2 linked regions of the Oryctolagus cuniculus genome follow. The protein of the gene in region 1 binds, or shares a complex with, the protein of each later gene. Links are inferred from orthologs where the notes say so. Each region holds a gene or a part of one and is shown in the gene's direction. Other genes may lie near its edges. The genes, in order: MUS81 and EME2.

Evidence for each region.
Region 2: the proteins of MUS81 (region 1) and EME2 are in contact, whole or in part, in a crystal structure (PDB 7F6L), measured with the Homo sapiens proteins. The link is inferred for Oryctolagus cuniculus from reciprocal best matches to the Homo sapiens genes MUS81 and EME2. Residues at the interface, in NP_079404.3 of Homo sapiens: His330, Glu351, Phe354, Lys357, Arg358, Arg363, Val365, Glu381, Leu385, Gln386, Thr389, Asn390, Gln392, Val393, Ile394, Phe398, Lys400, Arg401, Tyr411, Leu414, Leu415, Arg417, Gly418, Leu419, Arg421, Leu422, Pro447, Ile464, Lys467, Ala468; in NP_001244299.1 of Homo sapiens: Glu140, Arg177, His179, Glu220, Glu221, Val224, Leu225, Gln227, Leu228, Trp229, Asn231, Leu232, Asp233, Leu235, Arg245, His246, Ala249, Val250, Lys252, Ala253, Leu254, Gln256, Tyr257, Lys260, Gln261, Glu264, Gln266, Phe268, Phe270, Cys271.

The regions. Positions count from the first base shown.
Region 1 is NC_091432.1:5,906,423-5,910,784, reverse strand, and holds the start of MUS81 (crossover junction endonuclease MUS81), read left to right. Parts: upstream 1-1,365; 5' UTR 1,366-1,502; coding exon 1,503-1,637; intron 1,638-1,721; coding exon 1,722-1,851; intron 1,852-1,981; coding exon 1,982-2,085; intron 2,086-2,425; coding exon 2,426-2,587; intron 2,588-2,679; coding exon 2,680-2,748; intron 2,749-2,827; coding exon 2,828-2,913; intron 2,914-3,754; coding exon 3,755-3,892; intron 3,893-4,028; coding exon 4,029-4,124; intron 4,125-4,207; coding exon 4,208-4,329; intron 4,330-4,362. UniProt on the Homo sapiens protein: Catalytic subunit of two functionally distinct, structure-specific, heterodimeric DNA endonucleases MUS81-EME1 and MUS81-EME2 that are involved in the maintenance of genome stability.
Region 2 is NC_091450.1:33,389,068-33,393,557, reverse strand, and holds the start of EME2 (probable crossover junction endonuclease EME2), read left to right. Parts: upstream 1-1,688; 5' UTR 1,689-2,102; coding exon 2,103-2,967; intron 2,968-3,090; coding exon 3,091-3,227; intron 3,228-3,378; coding exon 3,379-3,471; coding exon of another isoform or gene 3,472-3,725; coding exon 3,726-3,817; intron 3,818-3,957; coding exon 3,958-4,048; intron 4,049-4,128; coding exon 4,129-4,244; intron 4,245-4,333; coding exon 4,334-4,490. Other genes in the region: NME3 (nucleoside diphosphate kinase 3), read right to left, coding at 679-796, 880-992, 1,066-1,167, 1,260-1,390, 1,456-1,501. UniProt on the Homo sapiens protein: Non-catalytic subunit of the structure-specific, heterodimeric DNA endonuclease MUS81-EME2 which is involved in the maintenance of genome stability. In the complex, EME2 is required for DNA cleavage, participating in DNA recognition and bending.

The DNA.
Region 1 (4,362 bases):
GGCCGCGGGATGCCCTAGATGTCCTTATTAGGACATGAGCCTGGCGGGGGCGGAGCCGGCCGCGGCGCCGGCTTCGGGCTCCTTATAAGGCCGTGCTGGGAGGGAGGCGGGCTGGGCCCCGGCGCCCGCCCCTCCGGCCCTCTCGGGGGGTCCCGGGCCCCGCACGCCCCTGCTTGGGGTTCGCCCGCTCTCGACCTGGGACTGCTGCGGACGCCAGCAGGGCCCGCTCCCCCTCCCTGCGCCGAAGCACCTGCTTACGTGTCGCTCAACCTGGGCCCACCGAGTTCCATCTCCAAACCTCGCTGGGGGAAGGGGGTCCCGCGCCTCCACCGAGCCCCCGAGCCGGGGAGCCTCAGCCCCGGAGCGGCTCACGTGCGCCCCTCTGGCCGCCACACCTGCCGGGACGCACACAGCGCCTCTGCTCTCACCCCAGTCCGCCCAGCTAGGGCTTCCGCCGCCGCACACCCCAGAGCCCCTACCCACAGAGGCACCTGCGCTCCGCTGTCCCCCGACCCCAGTCTCCTGGAGTCTCCTCACGCCCCCTCCCACAGATGCACCTGCGCTCCGCTATCCCCCGCCCCCAGTCTCCTGGACTCTCCTCGAGCCCCTATCCACAGATGCACCTGCGCTTCTCTGTCCCGCGCCCCCAGTCTCCTGGACTCTCCCCGAGCCCGTACCCACAGAGGCACCTGCGCTCCGCTGTCCCCCGCCCTTCCTGGACTCTTCTCGTGCCCCCTATCCACAGAGGCACCTCAGAGGCACCTGCGCTCCGCTGTCCCCCGCCCCCAGTCTCTTGGAGTCTCCTCACGCCCCCTCCCACAGAGGCACCTGCGCTCCGCTGTCCCCCGCCCCCAGTCTCCTCGAGTCTCCTCGAGCCCCCTCCCACAGATGCACCTGCGCTCCGCTACCCCCCGCCGCCAGTCTCCTGGACTCTGCCCGAGTCCCCTCCCACAGAGGCACCTGCGCTCCTCTGTCCCCCGCCCCCAGTCTCCTGGAGTCTCCTCGAGCCCCCTCCCACAGATGCACCTGCGCTCCTCTGACCCCCTACCCACAGATGCACCTGCGCTCCGCTATCCCCCGCCCCCAGTCTCATGGACTCTCTCTGAGCCCCCTCTCTGCTGCCCCGCTCCGCCGGGGTGAGGCAGGGCCTGGCGGTCCTCCTCGCCGCTAGGGGCGCTGTCCGCCCTCCTCCGAGGGCGCGTGGGGCCCCCGCTCTCGAATCCGCCGTGGGAGGAAGGGGCGGGTCGAGGCTCAGGGGCCTGGGCGGGGCGCGCCCGAAAAGCCGGCCGCGGCCGGGCGGGGGCACCGAGGCGAGAGGTGGCCGCGGCTGCGCTGGGCTCCGGCCACTGAGGGCCGCGCGGGGGCGGGGAGGGCGGCGGGAGGCGCCTCTCGGGCTGGGCCACGTGACTGCAGAGGTTCCCGCCCTCAGTCCCTACCCCGGCCAGGTGTTCGAATCCAGCCACAGACCTGGCGGCGGCCCGGCCCCGCGGGCGCCGGGGCTCATGGCGGCGCCGGTCCGCCTGGGCCGGAAGCGCCCGCTGCCCGAGTGCCCGAACCCGCTCTTCGTGCGCTGGCTCACCGAGTGGCGCGACGAGGCGGCCAGCAGGGGGCGCCGCACGCGCTTCGTGTTTCAGAAGGTGGGTGCCGGGGGCAGGTGCGGGCCGAGCCGGCAGGCGGGACCGACCTGCCCTGACCCGAGGCCTCCCGCCCGCCTCCGCCAGGCCCTGCGCTCCCTCCGGCGGTACCCACTGCCCCTGCGCAGCGGGAAAGAAGCTAAGATCCTGCAGCACTTCGGAGACGGGCTCTGCAGGATGCTGGAGGAGCGGCTGCGCCAGCACCGAGCGTCCGGCGGTGAGCGCCCGCCGCGATGGCCTGGCTGCGGGCTCGGGCTTCCGCTCGCCCCGGGGCTGGCGGGTCTCCAGGCTGCACCCCGGGACCCTCAGAGCTGCGGTGCGGGGCTGACGCTCTTACGCTCCCGCAGGCGGCGATGGCGATGGCGATGGCGATGGCCAGGGCTCACCGTCCGGAGCGAGGAGTCCCCCCGGCGAAGGGCCGCCCGCCCAGGCCCAGGCCCCTCCCGTGGCAGTGAGAAGGGGGGGGGAGGGCGCAGGGGGAGCCGGGCACTAGGGGCTTGGGGCGTTAGCAGGCCTGAGTCCGGCTCTCACCACGGCTGCCGGGCTTGGGGCGAATGACACCCTGTTAGTGCTTTAAGCTGTAAGTTGGGATGTTGGGAACAGCTGGCGACAGCTCCACGCTCAGCCACTTAGGGAAGCCACGGTGGGGTCCTTGCGCGGGCAGACTTCAGTGGGAGGGGGATCTGGGGGGCAGCAGGTAACTCCCAGCCCCTGCCACTGCTCCTGCCGCCCCCCCCCCGCCTCTGCCCCGATTTCTAGGGGGTCGACCCCCCTCCCGGCCCGTTTTACAGGTGGGGCAGCCGTGGCTTGGCCGGGGGCCTGGCTCCCTTTCCCAGTCCCCCTCTGCCTTTCAGGCCTCCGCGCAGCCCCAGGCCGGCGGCTCCGGTGGCTACTGGCCGGCTCGGCACTCAGGGGCCCGGGCGGTGCTGCTGCTGCTGTACCAGGAGCACCTGGTGCGTGCCGGGCCCCCGGGAGGGGGACGGGCACGGGGGCGGGCGCGGAGCAGCCGGCGCTGAGCCTGCCCCCGCGTGTCTGCTGGCCGTAGAACCCCGAGGGCCGAGGCTTCCTGACCAAGGAGGAGCTGCTGCAGCGGTGCACTCAGATGGCCGCCAGGGTGAGCCCAGGGCGCGAGCGCGGGGCCTGACCCGCGTGGCAGCGCCGCGGCGCTCTGAGCGTCCCCTCCCACCGCACAGGTCACTCCCGGGAGCTCGCGGTCCTGGCCAGCGCTCCGCTCCCTGCTCCACAAGAACCTGGTGCTCAGGGCGCACCAGCCAGCCAGGTGCGGGACACGGGAGGCGTGGCGGGGCGGGGGCGTGGGGGGCAGTGAGCATGGTGGGGGGGCAGTGGGCGTGGCGGGGGGGGACAGTGTGCATGACCCGGGCAGTGAGCGTGGCCGGGGACAGTGAGCGGGGCGGGGCAGTGGGCGTGGGGGAGACGGTGTTCGTGGTGGGTGGTGGGCGTGGCAGGGGCAGTGGGCATGACCCGGGTGGTGAGCGTGGCCGGGGACAGTGAGCGGGGCGGGGCAGTGGGCGTGGCAGGGGTGGGGGGGACAGTGTGCATGACTCGGGCAGTGAGCGTGGTGGGGGGCAGTGGGCGTGGCGGGGCAGTGGGAGTGGTGGGGACAGTGAGCGTGGTGGGGGACAGTGAGCGGGGCAGGGCAGTGGGCGTGGGGGGGGGCAGTGAGCGTGGCGGGGGCAGTGTGCGTGGGTGGCAGTGGGCGTGGGGGGGACAGTGAGCGTGGGGGGGCGGTGGGCGTGGGGGGGCGGTGGGCGTGGCGGACTCCCGTGGGCTCCCAGCAGTTCCCAGACCTGATGCGGCGGCTGGGGAGTGTGGGAGTGAAGGAGGCAGGGGCGGGTGAGGGCAGCGGGAGAAGCGGTTCGAAGGCCTTAGAGTGGTGAGCGGGAAGATGAGGGAGGAGTGCGTGCCAGAGGGTGCATTTCGCAGACCTGGGAAGTGGCACCGGGCAGGGGTGGGAAGGCGGGGGCAGGAGCGGGAAGGTGGGCACAGGGAGCCGCTGGGCTTGTTTGCGGGAGGCCAGCCCGGCGCAGCCCAGCGTGGGGCAGGCGAGAGCCTGCCAGGGGCCAGGGAAGAAGGCAGAGCTGTGTTGTGTCCCCTCCCAGGTACTCGCTCACCGCGGAGGGCCTGGAGCTGGCCCAGAAGCTGGCTGAATCGGGACCGCGCTCGGTGGACGCGGGCGTGGGGCCCGAGCAGCCTCCCGGGGAGGAGCCGGCAGTGCCAGGGGCGGCCCCGGCTGAGCTGTGAGCAGGGGCAGGGGAGGAGGGGGCCTGGAAATGAAGCCGCCGCCCCGCCCTGCTCTGTCGCCTGCAGCTGAGCCGGGGCGCTGGGGGCTCTGGCCTCCAACACCACCTCTCTCCCCCTCCCCCTCCCCCGTAGTGGCGCCAGCGCGGGGGGTGTCCAGCAGGCAGCGCTGGAGCTGGGGCCCGGGGAGTACAGGGTGCTGTTGTGTGTGGACGTTGGTGAGACCAGGGGGTGAGTGAGGCGGGGCAGCCTGGGAGCCGGCGGGGGGAGGGGATGCTGGCCTGCCCTGACCTTGGCCTCCTCTGCACCACCAGGGCGGGGCACAGGCCCGAGCTACTCCGAGAACTCCAGCGGCTGCGTGTGAGCCACACGGTGCGCAAGCTGCACGTCGGGGACTTTGTGTGGGTGGCCCAGGAGACCCGGCCCAGGGACCCAGGTAAAGGTGGGCAGGTGTCAGAGGCGGGGCCAG
Region 2 (4,490 bases), on another chromosome or scaffold:
CCCAGGCCGTGGAGGAGCCCCCAGGGGGGGTTTCTCAGGCTGCCGGGCGGGGCCCTGGCCTCAGGTTGATGGAGATAGGTGTGCTCCAGACGCGCTAAGTGCCTAGCGCTGCCCGCTGCGGCTGCGCAGGGGGAGAGGACGGGAGGCCACGGCCCAGGCCGCCAGACTGCGCATGCGAGTGGGGGGAGGGGTGGGCATCGGCCCAGGACTGCCCCTGCATGGCCAGGCCTTGCTGCCCCGGGGGCCCAGACCTTACCCTGCTCTGAGGCACTGATCGGGGCCGCCCCCCACCAGAGAAGCACACACCTCGGGCAGCTGCCCACCAGCCCAGCTGGCCTCGGCCGCAGCCACGTCCCCCAGCAGGCTTCTCCCCGCGGCCCAGCCACCTCTCCACTGTGATGTCCGTCAAGTCCCTGTCTGTCCCCACGGGACCCAGCCGTGACTTGGGGTCAGTGGGCGGGGCAGCTCGGGGGAGGGGCCGCCAGACCACCCTCCCGCGGCTTTGGCCCTGCAAGTGAACCCCGTATCTGCTCTGTGTAATAAAGCAACGTTTCCGCGTCGTCCCGGTCCGAATCAGTGTGCACAGTCGCCTTCAGTTTATTGCAAAACCAACCAACCAACCAACCCGCCACGCCAGGCTGGGACGAGGAGCTGCGGCCGCGGGGCGGGGCGGGGCGGCTACTCGTACAGCCAGTGCCCGGCGCTGTCCTCCCAGCACAGGAGCTCGTCCGCCCGGAACCACAGTGCGATTTCGCGGCGTGCGCTCTCCACCGAGTCGCTGCCGTGGATCACGTTCCTGCGCGGAGAGGCCGGCTGAGCGCGGGCAGGGGCGATGCGGGGAGGAGGGCTCGGGCAGCACCGACCCCGGGCGGGCCTTACTTGCCGACTTCGATGCAAAAGTCGCCGCGGATGGTGCCGGGCAGGGCGTCTGCCGGGTCCGTGGCCCCAATGAGTGCCCGAGAGACGCGCACCACGTCCAGCCCCTGCCACACCTGCGCAGGCGGAGCGGCCGGCTGGTCACCGCGCCGCGGGCTCCCGCGTCCGCCTGCCCGGCGGGGTACTTACCATGGCCACCACGGGTCCCGAGCTCATGTACTTGACCAGGCGGCTGAAGAAGGGGCGCCCGCGCAGCTCGGCATAGTGCTGGCGCAGCAGCTCCTCGGACGCCTGCGGAGGAGTGCGGACCGCCTGCGCCTGCGCCGGGGCCCGGGCCAGCGCCGCCCCGCGCCCCCCCGGCCCCGCACGCGCGCCCGCCCCACCTGCACCAGCTTCAGCGCCACCAGCTTGAAGCCCTTCCTCTCGAACCGCCGCACCACCTCGCCCACCAGCCGCCGCTGCACGCCGTCCGGCTTCACGGCCAGGAAGGTGCGCTCGTGCGCGCCGGTGCCTGCTGCAGAGCCGGGCGTCAGGCCGGCCCGGAGCTGCCCAGGCCGCCCCGCGCGCCCAGCCACTCACCTGCCGGGAAGAGGTGCGCGAAGAGGGCCAGCACCACGCAGATCATGATGGCGGCGGCGGCGGCGCGAAGCCTGCGGGGCGGGAGGCGCGGAGCCTGCGGCGCCCGGGGCGGGGCCTGCGCTTAAAGGGACCCCGGCTGCGCGCAGGTTCCGCTCCGGACTTGGGGCTGCTGCGCGTACCCCGGGAACCCACGGACGGGGCTGGCGACACGCCTCCCGTGGCCCTTCCCTCCCGCAGCCTTAGACGCAAAGAAACCACACCCAGGAGATGCGGCTGGCCTTTATTTCTGGCCACAATAAGGGCGGGGGCGGGCGGAGGAAGCCTGCGGGCAGTGCGAGTCCTGGCCCTGCCCTCACACGCAGACCGTGTTCCGAGACCCGCAGGTTCCGGGAATTCAGACAGGGGTGCCCTTGGGCTGTCCCTTCGCCTTCAGCCTGGCAGGGTAGTCCCAGGGGTCCACACGGACCCTCTCCAAGTTCAGCACTGGCTCCTCGAGGCTGGGGTCCCCGCTCTTGCGCCGCTGGGCCAGAATCATGGCCCGCAGGAGCGGCGGGTAGGGCACAGACCGTGGGGCGTCCGCGGGCCCCGGCACGTTCGCCGCGAAGGCCGCCTCTTCGTGCTTGGGCACCAGCCGCCAGTCGTGGTACATGACCTGGGGAATCTCGCGCTCCTCGCCTTCCGTCTTCCCTGCGGAGGCAAAGGCGGGGCTCAGCGCCCGCTCCTCGGCTCCCCGCGCCCCTGTCCGCGTCCCCCGCCGCGCGGCCGGCCTTACCCTTGAAGGTCAGGACGCCCCAGGCCTTGCCGTGGTCCAAGTTCTGCAAAGCAAGCGGCTCGGGTCAGCTGGGCCGCGCCTGCGCCCCGAGCCCCGCGGCGCCGGCGGGGGCACGCACCTGCGCCGTGTAGTCGGGCCGCACGCGCGTGAGCCTCCAGTAGCACGGCTCGTCGTGCTGCCACAGCCAGGACTTGCGCGTGACCAAGCGGCCCAGGCCGAAGCGCGGCAGGCAGCCGAGCAGCTGCAGCAGGCGGCTCTCGCGGCGCGCGTCGGCCCAGGCGCGCACGGGCAGGCGGCGGCCCGAGTGCGGCCGCGTCAGGGTCTCGTAGTCCAGGGCGTAGCGCTGCGAGTCCCGCGGCTGCTCTCGCTGCTCCCGCAGGGCGCGCACGCGGCGGGCCAGCTCCGCGATCAGCCGCGGCCGAACCTTCTTGCGCGCCATGGTCCCGCCGCGCGGCCCCGGGCACCCGGCCGGAAGCTGCCGCGGCTGCGCGGAGCGAGGGCGCGCCGGAAGCGAGCGGGCGCGCGCGCCGGAAGCGGAGGAGAGGCCGGGCCGCCCATGGCGAGAGCGGGGTGCGGGCGCGCGCTGGGCGCGCGCCGCAGGCCGCCGACCTGGGAGATCTCGGACTCGGACGCCGAGGGCCCCTCCGGGGCGGCGGCCGGCGCGGGGACCCAGGGGCCGGCGGCCGAGGCGCTGCGGCCGGAGCGGGCCCTGAAGCGCCTCGCGGTGGGCGTAGACCCAGGTGCGGGGCGAGGGGCGCGGCCCGGGCTTGGCGGGGCTCTGCGCCGCGGGCGGTGGTCCTGGGTGGGGGAGGCAGGAGCCTCGGGAACGCAGAGCGGCTGAGTCGTGCCCCTCGCGGCCCCAGCCATCCTGGAGGACGCTGGCGCGGACGTCCTGCTGCAGGCGCTCGGCGCCCTGGGCTGTCAGTGCCGCATCGAGCCCCAGCGCCGTCCGCGGAGCCTGTGTTGGAGCTGGGGGACCCCCGACCCCTGCCCCCGCAGCGTGAGTGCCCACGGCGGACTGCGTGTCCCGAGGAGTGGTGGTGCTGGGGGGGAGCTCGCGCCCCGCCGCTGCCCGAAGACCCGGGCTGCCCTCTCCCGGCGGCGGACCCTGGGCCGGGCGAGAGCGGCGGCGCGTCCCGCTGTCCCCGCAGGCCCCTCCTGAGGAGCGAGAGGAGCCGGAGCTGCTGTCGCTGCTGCTGCTGGAGCCCGAGGAGTTTCTGCAGGGCGCGGCCCGGCTGGCTCAGGTGCAGCGGGACGGAGCTGGACAGGGTCTGGGTGCGGCAGAGTCCGGTGTGGCTCGCAGGGCAGGAGGGCCCTGGGGCCTGAGCTTGGAGGAGTGCACCAGGGACTTGGGGGAGCCGGTCAGTTCTGGCGGGGTCGGGGGCACACCCTGGGCACTGTCTCCAGGAAAGCAGAGCCACTGTTCTCAAAAGCTTGCCCTTGCGTGCACCCCGGCCCTTGACCTGCCGGCAAACGGGGTGCAGTTTCTCCCCTTCAGGCCTCCGGCCCCATCTGCTCAGTGCCCTGGGTCTCCCCCGAGAGCCCCTCCCGCCCCCACCTGGCCGTCGTGGGACTGGACGCCTACCTGTGGTACTGCTCACCCCCGCTCTTAGGGTTGGGGGTGGGATGGCGAGGTCGGGGTGCTGGTGGGGCCCCCTGCAGGAGAGCCAGTGAGCTCCCCTTGAGCGAGGGCTTCGCTCTGGGGGACCGAGGGAGTTACCCCTGCCCAGGTCCAGCCAGCCCAGTGCACGGGGGACACAGTCACCCAGGAGTCCAGAGGCCCGCGGTGGAGTGCCCGTCGGCAGGCCTGAGGTGCAGGAGGTGAGGTGGCCGCCCTCGGAGGCCAGCCAGGCCCCTGTGGAAGGCCCGTGGTCCACACACGCTGTGCTCCATCCTCCCAGGCCCTGGTCCTCCTCCAGCTCTGGGCGGACATGGACGTGCTGCTGGTGGCCTCGTGGCAGGAGCTGAGTCAGCACGTGTGCGCCCTCACCAGAGCGCTGGCCCAGCGCCCGTTCAAGTGCGCACCCCCCCCCCCCCCCCGGCCGGAGGGCGCTGCAGGGCAGCTGCCGCTGGCGAGGTGGGGAAGGCCTCCCGTTCCCTCCGCAGGCAGCACCGGGAGTCCCAGGCCTTTTCCTTCTGCACGGCAGGGCGCTGGGCCGCAGGTGTGCGGGTAACCAGGGATGGCCGTGGGCTTCGGGAGGCCTGGCAGCGGCAGATCATGCAGTTTAACCGGGTCAGCCCCGCCGTGGCCGGCTCCATCGTC